Callithrix jacchus: one gene and its partner. The main gene of each other region encodes a partner of the protein of the gene in region 2 in a complex. Links are inferred from orthologs where the notes say so. Each region holds a gene or a part of one and is shown on either strand. Other genes may lie near its edges. The genes, in order: UPF1 and UPF2.

Region 1 (3,024 bases), on a different chromosome or scaffold from region 2:
CCCGTCACCCCGCCATGCTGGTAAGCCCGCTCTCCCTGGTATGTGGAGTCCTGTGAGAGCGCCACGTCAATCTGTGATTTAAACTCGTCGCCAAGGTAACTGTCCTGAAAGACAAGGTGGGGAGGTGAGCAAGCCACCAGCCAAGGGCGCTCACGTCCATCCAGCCCTCAGCAGCCCAAGAGAATGGAAAAGCTGTCCCCAAACTAACAGCCAGAGACCCACTCCGCTGACCCCAGCTCAGGGACAGGTAACCCACACAGGGTACACAGGCCAGACCGGCTCTCCAGGGGAAATGTTCCAGGTGCACAGCCCCACCCTCATTCCCACAGGTCCCCTCGGAGGGCTCCGAGAGGGCTCTGCGTGGGGCGGCCTCACCTGGGACAGCTCCGGCTGGGACAGGCCGGGCTGGCTCATCTGGGAGGGCTGGCTCATGGAGATGTAGCCCTGTGTCAGGGCGCCCTGCGAGAAGGGCTGTGACGCCACATCCTGGCTGGCTTGACTGTTGGGGAGGTTGGTCTGGCTGGGCCCAGGAAGCCCAAAGCGGTTCTTCTGGCGTCCCCCACGACCAGTCTTGCCTTTCGGGGTGCCTCGGCCTGAAAGACAGCAGTCCAGGGTGATGAGGAGGCCAGGGCCTGGAAGATACGCACACCCTCAGGAGCTCTCAGAAGGGCCACACCCAGCCCTGGCTACAGGTGCTCACCTGCAGCTGGCCCGTTGGCTTGTCCGAAATAGCCAGGTGGCGGCATGGGCGGCATGACCAGGTTGAAGGGGATGGGAATGTTCATGGCGGCCACGTGGCTGGGGCCAGCACTGATCATGCCGATCTGGTCGTGGGTCTGGAAGTACATGCTAGAGGGCCGGCCTGAAAATCACAGTAAGGCGTCACTTGCCTCGGTCAAACCCCAGCGATGTCGCCACCCACCCCACCAGCCAGTCAGCCGGAGCTACACATGTGCTGGCCCTGCCCAGGCTGAAGATGCAGATTCCCAGGACTCCATGTTGACTACAGCAGCCTGCCTGGGGCTGGATGCCTGGGCCGGCACCTTCCCCTAGGAGAGTCTGCTGGGAATCACTGGCCTACACAGATCTTAAAAACTGAAAATTGGGACTGGGTGCAGTAGCTCATGCCTGTTAATCCCAGCACTTTGGGAGGCCAAGGCAGGTAGATCACCTGAGATCAGGAGTTCAAGACAGCCTGGTCAACATGGTGAAACCCTGTCTCTACTAAAAATACAAAAATTAGCTGGGCGTTGTGGCAGGTGCCTGTAATCCCAGCTACTTGGGAGGCTGAGGCGGGAGAACTGATGGAACCCAGGAGGTGGAGGTTGCAATGAGCCAAGACTGCACCACTGTACTCCAGCTTGGGTGACAGAGAGACTGTCTGAAAAACAAACAACAAACCCCTGAAAATTGGCCGGGCACAGTGAGTCACGCCTATAATCCCAGCACTGTGGGAGGCTGAGACGCAAGGACAGCTTGAGCCAGGAGTTCAAGACCAGCCTGGACAACATAGTGAGACCCTCCCTGTCTCTAAACAAAAAAATATATGAAAAGCTCCCTCCATTTACAAAAAAAAAAAAAAATCCTTTTAATAAAAATGTTCTATTTGTACTACATGCAGCCCCTACCCTACCACCACCAAAAAGCAAGAAAAAGCTAACTAGCTTGATCACCAGTAAACACTAATGAATGGACTCCGGCTAAAGACAAACGCTGGGAGGCCAAGGGAGCCAGGCCCTGCCCTCGACGGGGAGGAAAGGGGGACACCCAAAGCTGCAGCTGTGGGAACAGCTAGCATCCCAGTGTGGGGACAAAGGGGCCGGCTGGGTCTCCTGCTGAGTGACTCACCCTGGCTGCTCCGATCATAGACGGAGCCGGGGATGATGGCCTCCCGGGCATCATACATGGCTGTGGTCATGAAGCGGGCCCCCTGCGAAGGTTTAGATAGGTGAGGAATTTGTCATCTCAACACAAAGAACGACTTCCCACCAACCAGTGGCCTGGGAGGGGCAGGTGTGCCGCTGTGGGTGCTGACACTGTGCTAGGGGCTCTCTCTGGGGGCAGGAGGGAGCTGCTGTCTCATGGGCTCTGGGCCTGCCCTGTCAGCCCAACCTGGGCTCTGACGCTGACCCCTGGGACTCGGCTGAGGCAGCTTCACACCCCTCATCACCAGAGCACCCCAGGCTCGCAGACCATGTCCGAGGTCCCAGGCTGCTGCAGCACAGCAGCCAGAGCCCAATTTCAGAAGCCTCTCAGGACCTAGCAGCCCTGAACCAAACATGCCACACACAGCTCGGGAGACGGGTGGGCTGCCCGCCCTCAGCTCACGGGCACCGTGGACCCCTGTACCACCTTCCCAGCAGTGTTTTGGGCCCGGGTTTCTCCATGCCCCCGCTGCCCTGTGGGCACTCACCGGGTTGATGGTGTTGACCAGCTTGCGTGGCTTGCTGAACTGCATGAGGCTCTCGCGCAGGTTGTTGAGCGGCCCCTCCACCAGCACCTTCTGCTCCTTGTAGTAGTTCAGCAAGTGGTTCCAGAGCGGCTGCTTCGACAGCGCCTTTGGGTTGCCCACAATGATGACGCCATACCTGCGGCAGGGGTGCGGTGCTGAGGACGCACGTGGAGAGCTGCCCGTCTCACAGGATGGTCCAAGAGGCAAGGCTGCACTCGCTCAGAACCCAAATTCAAGGCAACAGAGGCATGGAATGGGTGAGCTGAGGTGGCGGGCAGGCTGTTGGCCACAGGGACGGGCCCTAGAGTCTAATGCCAAGCCACTGATCTTACACATGGGGTGATTTTGTGGCCAACTCTTAAGCAGCCCCATGGCAGACACCAAGCTGGGTGGATACGCTTGGAGACAGGGTCTGCTGTCAAGAGTTGGCCTTCCAGGCACTGGGCACAGGCAGTCCCACAAAGCCCCCGGTGGGGTGGGGCAGACTCGATACCCAGCTCCTCTGGCCCACCTCACACAGCTATGGGGGGGACCCACCCGATACTGCCCACCAGACAAGAAGGCATCTTAAA
Region 2 (4,270 bases):
AAGCACAGGGGGGTTTCACCCCTTGCAATGTTTAATTCAATATAACTGTTATTTTGTGGACATGAATGACCATATCAGAGTGTGGTTTACACCTCTTGCCGTATTCAGAGTGTTTCCATAAGGACAGCAACATTCTCCTCTCCTTCTCTGGATATTAGGAACAATATCACAGGACCGGCATACAGCCCCAGTCACATCGTGAGTAATGTCATCTGTAATCCCCTAGGTATTAGAAACAATATCACAGGGGGCTTGTGTGCTTTCTGAGATATTTGGAGTAATATTCTCTCCGTTTTTGAATATTAGAAACAATACTACAGTGGTGGTGTACACTTCCTGCGATATTCAGGGTATGGTCATCCTTTGTCCCTCGGATATGATTAACTACATCACAGAAGCATTTTACTTTGCCTGTGATATTGGAACAATCACAGAGTGTACACTTGCTTTCACAATGAGAGTAATACCTACTTAGGATATGATGGATAATATCACAAAATGGACACACATGGGTGTATACCCATTTTGATATTAGGAGTGATTTTTTTCTAATATACTAAAAATAATATCCTGGAATATACTTATAATGTGTATGTTTTTTGGAATATTACAATAAATGTATATTGTATGTACCATATGTACATTTACTGTGATGTACAATGTGTACAAAATACCTATACACAATAAATTTACATAATCTGTACAATATGTACATTTATATGTACATAATGTGTATGATATGTACATTTATTTTAATGTCACAATGATACCATATATGAAATCACAAAAAATATATATATAATACGTAGTATCACAGTAAATGTACAGATTGTACACATTATGTACATATAATTTATTTTGGCATTTCAATATGTAAACGTACATAATGTACACAGTATCTACATATGTACTATATAGACACGTGTACATATGTGTGCACATTGTGTACATTATGTACAGATGTATCATATATACACGTGTACATAATGTGCACATTATGTAGAGATGTACATTATGTACACGTATACATAATATACACAGTATATTCACGTATGCATAATGTACAGACTATGTACAGATGTACCATATATACACGTGTACATAATGTGCACATTATGTAGAGACATACAGCATGTGCACATTTGCATGATGTTTACATTAGGTACAGATATACAGTATGTGCACATGTACGTGTAGTTGCACACTGTGTACATGTAGGTGCACCTTATGTGCATATGCACAGCCCCCCAGCCCAGTGAGCAAGAGGACGCTGCATTGTCCTAGTTGCCAGCAGGGGGCATCTTGCCACTGCAGTGTGAGCAAGAGGGCCCTGCAGTAGTCCTCCACCAGGAGGGGGCACCCAAGCCCGCCGTTTCAGATTCCTGAGGCTCCGCCGCAGATGTGCGTCCGGTCACAGTGCCGCCCTTTGTCGCGTCACAGCGGTCTGCAGAGTTGCGTTCTCCTTAGTGTAGATCTGGGGGCGCTTCGAGGATGGAGCTGCCTCCTGTTCAGCACAGACCTTGGGGCTTGTGTCTTACTGGGAGAGGGCCTTGCAGTGGCCCTAGTCGCCAGAAGAGGGCGGGGGCACATCACCGGGAGCAAGAGGGCACTGCACTGCCCATCCGCCAGCAGGGGGCGCCCGAGCCCGCCTTTTCAGACGGTGTCACGGTACCAGCGTGCATTGCATCTCGGCGGTCTGCAGAGTTTCATTGTCCCATTGCAGACCTGGGGGACACTGCGAGGATGGAGCTGTGTTCTCCACAGCATAGACCTAGTGGGCAAAGCCTCACTTTGGGACAAGTCTAGGCCGTGTCCACAGTGAGTAAAATCTTTCCTGTTTGCACTAGTAAGATCTCGGTGTGGAAACCTGGACCCCAAAAACCCCTCTGAATCCTGAGCACCGAGGTTCTCCCAAGCCAAGGCCACGCGGCTGCAGTGCGAGGTGCACACCGCAGCCTCAGAATACAAATGGAGCGTTCCTAAGGCAGATATGACATCCGAAATGCCAATACAACACCCGCAGCGCTCATGTAGAAAACAGCTGTGATGCTCATGCAGGGCCTCAGTCCACAATGTTACTATATAATCCGCACTGCCCATGCGGCCGGGCCCATACAGCAGTCTGAATTGTCAACACTGACTTGTCAGTGCAAACGCAGAAACTAACGTATGGTTAGGGCTTAGGGTGAGGATCAGGGCTAGGGGTTAGGGTTAGAGTTGGGGGTTACCGGTTATGTGTTAGGATTTAGGGGCTAGAAGAATTTTAGGCAAAATAAACAGTTTATTTAAGCAAAGGAATGATTCGTGAATCACACCTGAAGCACCAGAACACAAAGCAGGGCTTGGGGCTTCGAGCTCTTAGCGGTGGCAGCTAAGTGAGGTTTCTCCTTGGCTCCAGCTAGGCGACCACCTGTTGGTGGGATGCTTCCCTCAGCGTCCTTAATCATACAGCCAGCTGGCGGCTGGGCTTATTGTCATTCACTGGGTGGTTTGCTAATGTTTTGAAGTCAGTTTTAATGCCTCCAATTCGGTTTCTGTTTGCTTTGCAATACCTCAGGCTAACGGCTTCCTCCTGTTTTGCTTTAACATGTCAAAACCATACTTCATTTTCATTTTACTTTACTGGCATTAATAGAAGTAAATTCACATTTATGTTGTTCAGAAAGTCAGTTTAATTGGCAACCTATTTGTGATGGTGCGTAAAATAATGTCTGTTCATCATTAGCATCTTAGGTTAGATGAAATATGTTAACTCTATTAAGCTTTTTTATTAAACCATAACGGGAGTTGAGTTTCTTTTTCTTTTTTTTTTTTTTTTTCTCTCTTAGGCTTTAATCATTTAAAATACACTCAAGCATCTCCTAATGATGTGAATTCTTTCTGAGAAATTTGTCCTTGGTGATTTCATTCTTGTCCGAACACCATAGAGTGTCCTTTAAAATCATAGCTGGTGTAGCCCACTCCACACATAAGTTATATGGTGTCGCCTATTGCTCCCATGCTACAAACCTGTATGGCATATCTCTGTACTGAATGCTGTAGTCAACTGTCACACCATGGCGACTGCAGATTGTGATCCCAAAATACGTGAGTCAGGTCTCAGCCAATTTAGAACGCTTCTTTTGCCAAGGTTAAGGACATGCCCATGACACAGCCTCAGGAGATCCTGACAACATGGGCCCGAGGTGGTCAGGGTAAAGCTTGCTTTTATACATTTTAGAGAGACAGGAGACACCAATCAATGTGTGTAAGATGTACAGTCTTTTGGTTCAGTAAGGTGGAACAACCGGAAGTAGGAAGTGGGGGTGCTTCTGGGTCAGAGGTAGATAAAACAAAAGGTTGCATCCTTTTGAATCCTTGATCAGCCTTCCACTGAATACAATTTAGTCTGGTTCAGTGAATCTGCATTTTCACATATACAGTAGGGCAGAGGAATGGTGTGATCTTGGCCCACCACAACCTCTGCCTCCCAGGTTCGAGCGATTGTCTTTCCTCAGCCTCCCGAGCAGCTGGGATCACAGGCATGCACCACCATGCCTGGGTAACTTTTATATTTTTAGTAGAGATGGGCATCCACCATGGCTTTTGCTGTGGTTATCTGTTCAGATATTTATCCAGTTTTAAAATCACATATGTATTGTGTAAAATCTTCTCACGTCTGTCTTGTCTTTTTGTTTTATCTACAGTTTTTCACAGTAGAATATGTAGTTTTATAAAGTCTGTTATCAATATTTTCGTGAATTGGCATTTGATGTTGTGTATTAAAACTCAACACCGGCCAGGCACGGTGGCTCAAGCCTGTAATCCCAGCACTTGGGGAGGCCGGGGTGGATCACGAGGTTAAGAGATCGAGACCATCCAGGTCAACATGGTGAAACCCCGTCTCTACTAATTAAAAAAAATAAACAATAAATTAAAAAAAAAAAAAAAAACTCAACACCAAACCCAATGTCATCTAGATTTTCTTTTAGATTTTTTATAGTTTTGTATTTCATATTACAGTCTCTGGACTATTTTGAGTAGGTTTTTGTTTTTCTTATTTCGTGTATATAGTCATTTCATTCTACATGGCTTCCAAAGTCTTCTGTCACCATTTTTGGGAAGAATATGGCTACAGTGGGCTTCATTTTGGCTTGAGTTTCCAAAATTATTACATTGAAGAAACTGAATATTGAATTTTGTAGGTATTTCAGGACAGCCAGGTGGGGGTGCACATCTGCTGAGAAACTGAGCAAGAGTGTCTGGGCTGAGCTCTGGTGCCACCAAAGGG

What was found.
Region 1: the proteins of UPF2 (region 2) and UPF1 are in contact, whole or in part, in a crystal structure (PDB 2WJV), measured with the Homo sapiens proteins. The link is inferred for Callithrix jacchus from reciprocal best matches to the Homo sapiens genes UPF2 and UPF1. Residues at the interface, in NP_056357.1 of Homo sapiens: Val1105, Cys1107, Glu1109, Asp1110, Phe1113, Ile1114, Ala1116, Leu1117, Met1120, Met1121, Asn1124, Leu1125, Arg1128, Met1169, Pro1170, Phe1171, Val1172, Met1173, Leu1174, Thr1175, Gln1181, Lys1184, Leu1186, Asn1187, Val1188, Pro1189, Ser1192, Gln1193, Leu1194, Asn1197; in NP_001284478.1 of Homo sapiens: Asn150, Thr151, Ser152, Gly153, Val157, Asn158, Leu160, Val161, Arg162, Lys164, Lys166, Pro175, Leu176, Gly177, Thr179, Tyr184, Cys188, Asn190, Val191, Phe192, Leu193, Phe196, Pro198, Asp202, Ser203, Val204, Val205, Val206, Leu207, Cys209.

The regions. Positions count from the first base shown.
Region 1 is NC_133523.1:17,563,410-17,566,433, reverse strand, and holds part of UPF1 (regulator of nonsense transcripts 1), read right to left. Parts: intron 2,589-3,024; coding exon 2,414-2,588; intron 1,931-2,413; coding exon 1,849-1,930; intron 863-1,848; coding exon 701-862; intron 594-700; coding exon 376-593; intron 105-375; coding exon 1-104. UniProt on the Homo sapiens protein: RNA-dependent helicase required for nonsense-mediated decay (NMD) of aberrant mRNAs containing premature stop codons and modulates the expression level of normal mRNAs.
Region 2 is NC_133508.1:2,073,001-2,077,270, forward strand, and holds the start of UPF2 (regulator of nonsense transcripts 2), read left to right. Parts: upstream 1-1,428; 5' UTR 1,429-1,818; intron 1,819-4,270. UniProt on the Homo sapiens protein: Involved in nonsense-mediated decay (NMD) of mRNAs containing premature stop codons by associating with the nuclear exon junction complex (EJC).